Neurospora crassa OR74A: one gene and its partners. The protein of the gene in region 1 binds, or shares a complex with, the protein of each later gene. Links are inferred from orthologs where the notes say so. Each region holds a gene or a part of one and is shown on either strand. Other genes may lie near its edges.

Region 1 (2,718 bases):
GTTTTTGGATTTAAGCAAGGTTCCTTCCGCTAGGCTACGCCAGACTTCAGGAACTTGCTTGTTATTTTAACCCTTCCCCGCCCTGCAGTACTGCAGGGGGGGGGGCGGGTAGCCTTTTAAACCTAATTAACCTATAAAAATAATAATAATTAAAAGCACCCCCCTTAAGGGGGGGGTGCTTTCCAGTTAATGGGCCCCCCGCCCCCGAAGGGGGCGGGGTCCCCCGAATATTGTTTATAATATAACCCACCACCTCCCGGATGTTCCACTCCACTCGCTCCCCCCCGCAAACCTGCGGGGGGGGGAGCGAGTGGAGTTAATTCCGTTCCACTCCACTCCCCCCCTTAAGGGGGGGGGGAGTGGAGTTAATTCCATAAGTCATCCTCTTCATATTAGAAACTTTTTATCGCTACCCCCTCGCTCCCCCCCCGCAAACCTGCGGGGAGGGGGGGAGAGATAACCACTAGATGGCTTCATACTCAAATACATAGGGCCCCACGAATACCCCACACACCTTCGTGTGTGGGCCGTATTCGTGGGGTCCCCCGAGTTCCTTTATTTAGCCAAAAACTATTTTATCGTCTTACTGTTCTTCTAATCAAGTAAGGAATTTTTCTAGAGATACTGACTCTATAACTATAGGCATAGAACTGTGTAATATACCACAGATTTCAGAGCATTGACCATAGAATACTCCTTCTCTGTTAATAAAAACAGATACTTGATTTAATCTCCCAGGATAAGCATCACATTTAACACCTAAAGATGGAACAGCGAAGCTATGTATCACATCACCTGCAGTGATGATAAATCTAACGTGTGTTAGTTCAGGAAGGATAACTCTATTATCCACCTCTAACATTCTTAGTGCTCCTTCTTCCAAATCGGATTCCGGTACTATATATGAATCAAATTCTATAAATTCATCATTTGAATCTAAGAAATCAGGATATTGGTAACTTCAATATCATTGGTGCCCCTCTGCTAAAACTGACATTGAAGGATCACTAACTTCATCCATTAAATATAGCAACTTAAATGAAGGGAAAGCAATTAATATTAATATTACTGCTGGAGTAATAGTTCATATTAATTCGATTAATGTACCGTGATTTAAATATTTATGTGAAATTGGTGATTTTGTACTGATATAATTTCTTATTATAGATAATAAGATTCATCCTACACCAAATAGTATTACCACCAGATAGTACATAATATTGTCATGTAATTCAACTAAACCTTCCATCTGAGGAGTAGCACTATCTTGAAAATAGATACCTCATGGGCTTGGAGCATCAAAATTCATAATTAAATTATTAAATAATAATCCCATAAAAAAAGAAATAGAATATTCTATATTGAATATTAAACCATAATAATAAATATATTATATCTTTTCATAAAATATAGAATTTAAATATAACATTAAACTGTATTGTATATTAAGGCTAGGCTAATTCTTATCCACTAACGAAGTATACCCTGTGCCTAATGGGTTTTTATAGCCTGCTGCTCATAAGGTTAGGCTACGCTAGCGTCCTTTGTTTTTTCGGGGGACCCCGCCCCCTTCGGGGCGGGGGCCCAAAAAAATGAATTACCTTCGCTCAGCTTCGCACACTTCGCTCACTTCGCTCAGCTTCGCTCAGCTTCGCTCAGCTTCCCTCCCAAAAAAGTACCACCCTCCTCCACTCGCGTACCCCCTCCTTTGCTCAAGGTCCCCATCACATTTAATTATGCCCCCCTGCAGTATTGCAGGGCGGGGGAAAGATGGGGGCCGCCAAGGGGGGGGTTGAGTGGAGGAGGGTGGTCGCGATATTATGGCTAGCTAAATTATTAAGGCTGCTTCCTGCCTGCCTAGACTTCGTAGGCAGGAAGTAGGAGGGGGCCCCCCACGAATACCCCACACACCTTCGTGTGTGGGCCGTATTCGTGGGGTCCCTCGAAGCTAGCTAGCTAGCTAAGCAGGAAGAGCAGCCATATTTTTTATTTAAGCAGCCATACATCATTTTATTCCTAATCTCTATCATTACTATGCAACATAAAGAAGTAAAAAAGCCATCATCAAAGCAAATAATCCTGTCGCTTCCGAGAAAGCAAAACCTAAAATTGCATATGCAAATAATTGACTTTTTAACGAAGGGTTTCTTGAAACCCCTATTATTAATGAGCCAAATACAACTCCAATACCTATACCAGCTCCGATTAAACCTGTGGTAGCTAGCCCTGTTCCTATTATTTTAGCTACTTGTATCATTATATATACAATGGTGGAATCAAAAATTAACTAGAATCTAGTAACCTCTTCAATTCCACCACCGCAAAGCAGCAAATACCACTGAGGCTCCCGACAACAGTGTATTTACTGCTGTTGCAGTATATCTAATGATAATCAAGTAGCCATTAGGCTATCCCTAATGGCTACAATAATCATACGATAGCTAGCCAGTATATAACTGGCTAGCTATCGTAATCTTTAGTACATTACATATAAAGATTACATTACAATACATTACATTACATTACATGTAATGTAACATTACATTACAGTTACATTACTGTACATTATATTACATTACAGTTACATTATATTAAGTTACATTACAGTTACATTACAAAATATTACATTACAGTTACATAACATTAAGTTACATTAAGTTACATTACATTACATTAAGTTAAGTTACATTAAGTTACATTTTATATTATCTATCAGAT
Region 2 (3,383 bases), on another chromosome or scaffold:
GGAAGAGCCCGCCGAGGGATGGAGCCCCGCACGCAGTCTGAAATCAATCCAGCAACTTCATGGATGACGGTTGGTCACGAGGGGACAGCCGCAGCAGGCAAAAACATCAGGACGAAGAAAGAGCATCTGGATGAGGCAGGACTATGAGTGGCGTTCTCGTCCCGAAGGCCCGGATGTGAAATCATCGCCCGTAACTCTTATCCGAAGTACGGGCTACCGAGTGAGATACGGCTGGGTGCTGGGAGCAGGGTAGCTTACCCCTTTTTCGGCCATGTCAAGTAAACAAACAAACAAACAAACAAACAGTGTCATTTCTTACTAGCAGCGAAACACCTAGCAGGGATCAAGAGACGTCATCCTGAAAAGGTGCTAGGCGCCTTAAAAGCTCGGAAGCTTCTTTCCGCGTGTGACGATGCTACTCCCTCAAAATCCTCAAATACCTCGTTTCATCTTGATATCCAGGAGCTTGGCCTCACTGCCCGAATCTAGCTATCCCCATCCGCTCACTCTTCTCTACCAAGTTCCATATCTCCCTAAACCCCCATGACCCCCATTTACACCGGACAACAAAACGAACGCGCCGGCTAAAGGAAATGATAATGCATTGTCAGCTGTACAGTATTTACACACCAACCCAAGTGTTAAGCGCCCCAAAGCATTCCAATGCCACCACTGTCCTTTCCCCCGATCCTCACAGACTCGTTTGACATGGCCGATATCCGAGAGAACGAAGGATGAGTCTACCCCTGAGCACCAATAAAAGTATGCGAAACTTATGCGCTGGCAGAGGGAGACTGAACGTGGCCCTTGCCGTTGTAGCCTTCGGAGGTGAGACCAGTGAGGGGGTCGGACTTCTGGGCCTGTTTGTTGGTGATATATGTGTTAGTTGATCTGGTTGCCAACAAAGAGCCGATATGAGCCGACGCACCTTGAGGAACTCGTTGGTAGCCTCTTGCCACTCCTTGGTCATGGTGGCAGGAGGGGGCTTGGCGAAGGCGCGCATGGTAGCGAAGATGACGAAAGAGAGGAAGACACCGGCGACAGTGTAGGCCAAGACCTTCTTCTGCTCGCCGGGAGGGGGGAGAGCGCGGGGGCCGTGGGGACCGAAGGCGATGTAGTAGGCTGCGTTGAGAGAGAGTACATGTCAGTCTTTCTGTGGTCTGGGCCTGCGTGTCTCTTGAGACGACCTTGATGGCTGTCATGGTGCGGTTTGTCGTCGGAGCTTCCCTCCTCTTCTCCTCCAATGTAGCGCACCATTACTCCCTCAGCCTTCTCCCAGCGTCCCCCAACAACCCATCAATCAACCGATAACCTCTAGGCCGACAAGATCCATTTCCGCCCAACGATCCCAAAGCTGTCCGGGAGCTCGTGAAGCTTGTTTGAAGCTCGGGGTTGTCGCAGAGTGAGGGTGACGGGGGGGAGCTTCAAGGCGGGCGTTGGTGATGCAACTAGCTCGGAGCTTGGACGGTCGAGCTCCACCCGGCATTTCGCCAACCTTCAACCTTCCACTTCTCACTTACCAGCCTTCTTCTCCTGGAGGGTAAGGTCGGCCCAGTTGCCCTTCATGCGGTCGCGGAGAGCCATCCAGAGCTCGGCCTGCTCCTGCATGGGCATCTGCTCCCATCTCTTCTCAATGTTGGCAAGCGTGGGGTTGGAGATGGGCATGGTGGAAGCGGCGCGGACGGCCATGGTGGGCTTGGCGGCGCGAACGGCGACGTTGCGCACGAGGGCCGAGACGGTAGGAGTGCGAAGCATGGTGGCGGCGGATTGTCGGCTGACAGAGATTAGGAAGTTGAGGAGGATTCGAAGTCGGGGGTGGAGATGGATCCAATTGAGTCGCCCGCGTGCGTGGTCGGAGGCCTGGAGCTCGATCGTCGACGGTGATTTTGTGCGAGGAGTGAAGTCATGCAAAGGACGAGCTTTTTTTTGGGCGAACGGGATTCGCAGGTAGGCGAAACGGGGATGCGGCCTCAGCTCGGAACTCGAGGAATGCCTGGGATGGCCTGATGCCCACTTTGCTCACCCCGAACGCAGTGCCCGCCAGTGAAAACACCCCCAAACCAGAGCGCTATGAGACTCGCTGTCACAGTTTACCTAGCTTGGGGCCCCGTATCTTCCCGGGAGCCAACTCACGGCAGGCTGACCAGGGCCGCCTGGCAAGTGGTGAACGGGCAGCTTTTGCGTGTCTGGCGCTCAGAAACGGAGCCCCTCACCTGGCAATTCCACACTCTTGACAGCTGGCACGGACCGCCTTCAGTTTCCACACCATGGACGTTTTGTCCTTGGGCTGACTGGAGTGTCCATTGTTCATTGTTGACTTTTGGATGACGACGATTCGATTCTCTGGCAGCTGAAAAACGGAACTCACATGCCAGACGTCACTGTCTCACAAAGTTTATTGTTTGCTTGTCCGGAGTGGGAGACACGACAGGGTCTTTAGACAGATTAAAGCCTTGCAGAGAGATATTTCATGTCATGTTATCCGCAATGAGTACAGTAAACGCGGCAGAACGAAAATGAAGCCTTGGATGCTTCGTTTCAAACGAATTGCTGTCATGAGTTTCGAGAAAACAAAAAGAGGGACAGCTATGCACCGACATATCCCTCCAAATATATATATATAACTCATGCCTTGGTCGATGGTATGATCACGATACCTAGTTGTTACTCTACTCCATGCTAGCATCCTACATCTCATTCTCTTTTCTCCCACTCTTGCTTCCTAATCTCATATGGAGAGGGCTTGGCCGGGGGACTGGTGTCATGTTAGTCTATCCAGTCTTAACCGCACTTGATTGTTTCAAGCTCATCTTCTCACCCAAGGTTTAGGCCTTCACGCTTCTCCTTCTCCGCCCGGAGACTGGGGGCAAATGTGTAGTATCCTGCAGAGACGTCAGACTTTATTCTTCCAATCACAAGCACATGCAACCAAAGAGCCCGGACCATTCACGATGCCAAAGGTTACTACCAAACCAATGGTGATGATCTTTTTGCCGTTGAGCATCTTGACTTTTTGTTGCTGTTGTTGATTTTTTTATGTCTTGGCTGATGATCGCCACTCAGTTGACCGGATTGAATATCAGCTTCGATAGTATATTCGATCTGGACCTTCACTCAGTTCGAGAACACTTCAGCGTTTCGTTGGGTCCGTCCCTGTAAACGGCAACAACGGTGCTGTACAGGGCAGTACTGTACTGTAGTGTAGCATAATCTGCACAGCTCCATTCCGCCGCCCGCCCGGATGCCATGTGCACTGTCTGTTTAACCCCGGTCCAGTGCATGCAAGCAATGACGCGGAGGCAATTGGAAATCATTAAACACAGCTAAGTAGCGCACAGACCACATTTTCTCCGACGGCGCGTCTCCCAGTGTTTGTGGACGCG
Region 3 (3,485 bases), on another chromosome or scaffold:
GGAAGCGGTGGCAGCAAATTGTGGAGCAGACGGAGAAGCGGCAGGAGGAGATCAGGCATGGGAAGGCAGGAGGTGGGGGGTTCATGTTGGATGGCAAGTGGGTGGAGGATAAGGAGGAGCTGGATGAGAGGACGAGGGAGGCGGTTATGACGGCTCTGAAGAAGGGCGCGTACACGGATAATCTGTCGATGTTGGCGGCTACGGCGGCTGCGGCGAATGCAGCGAATCCTCGGGAGGGCGGTTCGGGGAGTGGGAGTGGGTCGTCTTCCGGGGGTGAAGCGATGAGTGAGGATGAAAAGGAGAGTGAGCGGGATGGTGCGGCTACACCACCATCGGAACCGGAGCCGGAACCGAAGATGGTGGTGGACCAGGAAAAGTTAAAAGGCAAAGAGAAGGAGACGGTGCAACCGAAGGCGCAGATCAAGACCTTCGCTGGCTTTGATGACGATGATGAATTTATGAGCTCTGATGATGAGTGAGAGTTCGATGGAAGATGTCATAGACTCATGGAGATCTCGGTGGTGTAAGTTGGGATGTAACGGGTGAACCTGACTCTCTTGACTGCCTCGGGAAGACAACTCATAGATGGCGTTATCGGGAGTTTGGTTTTGTTTAAATTGTCTCATGAGTAGCGAATAGGGACAAAGGGGGTTTTCATGATACCACATACTATACATCTAGGCCACATCATACAAAGCCTAGTGAAATACTGAATTCAGTTCAATGAAGGAGCGCTGATCTGATTCATTTTTTTCATTTCGATAACATCACTTCAGCAAGATGCAACGGGAAATCTTCGTTGCGCCAACCCCAACATACTCTCTATGTGCATTCGCCAATACTACCAAGAGCTTTCTAATACAACTAGGTTTGATGTAGGGTGAAGTGAGTCCTGATAGGTGGTTGACTTTTGTCATCATCCACCCACCAATCTGTGTCGCGTCATACAAGCATTTCAGGGGTATTTACTCCAGCTTGACGGGGAAGTTGCCAGCCTCTGTAAGAAGTTGTCAGTGAACATGCCCTTTATCGGCCCTTTCCTAGCAGTGAAAAAAGGATTGTTTCCCCGTTACGTACCACGCTGCTCGTCCCATCTCTGGTACCAGCCGCTGGGGCAGAGAGAGCGGTAGGCGAGCCAGAACTAATAAACAGCGAGGTGTCAGTCAGCATTCGGGTCCCTTTTCGTTTCGTAGCTTTGTCGTCCTCAGTCTGGCTTTGTATCCCATCCGGTCCCCACGTTTCCCCTTTCTCTTTCTCATCCGGCAAAGCAACAGCTGACGGCAGTGGTGAAATTAGTGGTGGTGGTGCGGCTAACCTGGCGGCAGGGAGCGAAGTCCTCGCCCTTGGCGAGAATGCACTTGTGGTAATCAACGTAGTTTTGCCAGCAGTGCTTGGTCTGGTTGACGTTGGGGAAACGGGCGTCGACACCTAATAGTTTTTGAAAAAACACGCAATACGTCAGAACACAGGTTTTTCTTTTTCTGGCGATTTCTCTTTGGTGCTGGTTTTGATGGCTCTGCTCGCTCGCTCGTGATCCGCATCCGCAAAGCTAGCAGCTGCTGGCATGGAGAAGGGGTGTTTGCCCCGTGCCGCGCAAAGTTCGAAGTTCGGGGTCTCCACAATGCACTCCTCTTCTTCCCCCGTGCCAACAGAGCTTGAGCTCTATCTTCAACCGGGGTATATCGGGGATTCCGGCGACATCGCGAGTGAAGGATTTGAAGGCTTGCTGCCGATCTTCGGCAAATTCGGCGGAGGAGCTAAATGTGTTTGAAAAGCAAGAGTAAGGGTGGTTGCATACCGGCTGCGACGTGCGTTTGTTAGCAATGAAATTCCGGCCCAGCGCAATGAGGTCACGGCATGATTTTTGGCCGAGGGAATTTAGATCTTTGCTTGGGGGAGCAGAGGTCCAATTCTCAGGGACTAAACCTGTACGTACCAGTGACGAACTTGAAGGGCTTGGTAACGCGCTCGTCGTCGGACATGTTGGCGGTGGTTTGCGGTGGTGGTCGCGGGGGTGGTGGTGTCTGGGAGTTGGTGTCGAGGCGGAAGCTCAATGGCTTGTGGGATTGGACCAGGTGCGGGTGTTGACGGGGACGTGGAAGAGCAGAGCTGCTGTGAGATTCTGACCTTTGCGTCGATGATGAGGCGAGGTGAGCCGAGTGGATCGATTCCACAGCACGGGTGCTAGCTTTTGGTAGCTCTGACGAATTGCAGTCAGTGCGCTGTCCTCCTTCCCCGTCCAGGCAGTGCCAGGCAATGCACCTTCTGGAAGCCAGCGCTTCGTCCGCTGTAGTAGTAGAGACTGCCTCGATCCGGAAGCCTGAGGCACCAACTTTCGCGGCACCTCAGCACTCATGCAGCGTCTTGGCAATCCCCGAATGGTGACGGCACTCCGACGGGCAATGATTCCCGCCTCGACCGAATCCGGGGACAGCTGGACGCCAGCTGCGGTGAGCTGACCTCACCTAACAGCAGGTGGAACCCACCCGGCTAGTGTCCGTGCAGCCGAACGAAGCTCAACGCTCGAACTCCCGCATCTTGATTTGAGGCGAAGAAGCCAAAAGTTCAATTGCCAACCTCGATCGCAAAAGCTGCTCTCTTCGTCCACCGCGGTAGCGCAACACCATCCCTCAAGACAAATCTCCACTCAATTCCACGTCGGCAAGATGTTCGCCTCCCGTGTCGCCCGCCAGGCTTTCCGCCAGACCCCCCGCATGATGCGCCCCATTCCCGTAAGAGCTATACCCGGTCTCGAGTCCGCGACTTTTCCGAAGCTTTGGGAGGTGCCATTGCGTCAGAGTTACTAACCATGGGATTTTTTGTCTTGCAATAGAAGGAGGAGCAGGCCGGTACGTGAACGAACAACCCAACCGTTGCATTCTACGACAACAAAAGCTATTACACAATTTGCCGGAGCTTCAGGAGCATCTACCCCAGTTGGCAATGGAGATGGAGGGTTTCAAAATAATTGCGCGAGGGGGGGATATCCGCGACTGACAACGTCATTTACGGTACAGCCCACACCGTCTCCCAGCGCCTCCGCATGCGCATCAAGACCATTCCCGCTGAGTTGTGGCCTCTCGGTAAGCTTGCACCAAGCTATTACACATATGGATGCCATCCTGGATCGAGTGCTGATAAGGGGGGAAATTGTTTGACTGAGTAGGTGTTGTCGTCGGTTTCGCCGTCAGCGCTGCCATCTACTCCATCACTCGCCACCTTGTCGTTGACAAGACCATCCGTCTCAAGCGCCAGAACCGCGCTGCCGATTCGCACGCTCTCCACGCTGCTCACGAAGAGAAGCACTAAACGAACAACCAGGGATTTTTGTGCATGGGGCGTATGTTCGATAAGGGAACGAGGAAAGTGTTCTCGAGAAAGGTTGCCTCCTTTTTTTTTTTGCGTAGCATTGTACATGATGACCAGGAATCAACACGGTTAATCCTACAAAAGAGTTGAATGCGGTCAGACGGGTGATGATGGCT

What was found.
Region 2: the proteins of NCU16028 (region 1) and cya-4 are in contact, whole or in part, in a cryo-EM structure (PDB 8Q1B), measured with the Schizosaccharomyces pombe proteins. The link is inferred for Neurospora crassa OR74A from reciprocal best matches to the Schizosaccharomyces pombe genes cox2 and cox5. Residues at the interface, in YP_011104938.1 of Schizosaccharomyces pombe: Asp10, Ala11, Pro12, Ser13, Ser14, Trp15, Gln20, Asp21, Gly22, Glu146, Glu147, Leu149, Glu150, Glu151, Gly152, Ser153, Leu154, Glu158, Arg209, Glu210, Gly211, Leu212, Tyr214; in NP_588158.2 of Schizosaccharomyces pombe: Pro136, Arg137, Thr138, Trp143, Lys146, Ser147, Tyr150, Asn154, Lys155, Ile156, Asn157, Pro158, Ile159, Ser160, Gly161, Glu162, Arg170, Gly171, Gln172, Ile173, Ser174, Phe178.
Region 3: the proteins of NCU16028 (region 1) and NCU06741 are in contact, whole or in part, in a cryo-EM structure (PDB 8C8Q), measured with the Schizosaccharomyces pombe proteins. The link is inferred for Neurospora crassa OR74A from reciprocal best matches to the Schizosaccharomyces pombe genes cox2 and cox12. Residues at the interface, in YP_011104938.1 of Schizosaccharomyces pombe: Asp104, Val106, Pro109, Ser110, Met111, Thr112, Lys114, Ile116, Arg118, Glu125, Asn127, Asp128, Phe129, Val130, Glu133, Thr169, Arg172, Ile174, Thr176, Gly198, Arg199, Leu200, Asn201, Gln202, Leu237, Phe240, Leu244, Glu245; in NP_588322.2 of Schizosaccharomyces pombe: Gln12, Phe13, Thr14, Phe15, Gly16, Thr17, Val18, Gly19, Phe20, Thr27, Asn28, Gln29, Thr30, Cys33, Trp58, Gln62, Ser63, Leu64, Cys65, Pro66, Met67, Glu68, Trp69.

What each region holds. Positions count from the first base shown.
Region 1 is NC_026614.1:58,147-60,864, reverse strand, and holds NCU16028 (cytochrome c oxidase subunit 2), read right to left. Parts: upstream 1,337-2,718; coding exon 584-1,336; downstream 1-583. Other genes in the region: NCU16027 (ATPase subunit 9), read right to left, coding at 2,033-2,257.
Region 2 is NC_026502.1:1,656,402-1,659,784, forward strand, and holds cya-4 (cytochrome c oxidase subunit IV), read right to left. Parts: upstream 1,897-3,383; 5' UTR 1,756-1,896; coding exon 1,521-1,755; intron 1,123-1,520; coding exon 929-1,122; intron 861-928; coding exon 774-860; 3' UTR 585-773; downstream 1-584. Other genes in the region: NCU16537 (hypothetical protein), read right to left, coding at 2,695-2,755, 2,819-2,882, 2,944-3,004. UniProt on the Schizosaccharomyces pombe protein: Component of the cytochrome c oxidase, the last enzyme in the mitochondrial electron transport chain which drives oxidative phosphorylation.
Region 3 is NC_026502.1:2,087,620-2,091,104, forward strand, and holds NCU06741 (cytochrome c oxidase subunit VIb), read right to left. Parts: upstream 2,144-3,485; 5' UTR 1,983-2,143; coding exon 1,937-1,982; intron 1,429-1,936; coding exon 1,316-1,428; intron 1,142-1,315; coding exon 1,078-1,141; intron 998-1,077; coding exon 966-997; 3' UTR 639-965; downstream 1-638. Other genes in the region: NCU06742 (hypothetical protein), read left to right, coding at 1-479; NCU06740 (hypothetical protein), read left to right, coding at 2,667-2,732, 2,834-2,849, 3,018-3,083, 3,167-3,309. UniProt on the Schizosaccharomyces pombe protein: Component of the cytochrome c oxidase, the last enzyme in the mitochondrial electron transport chain which drives oxidative phosphorylation.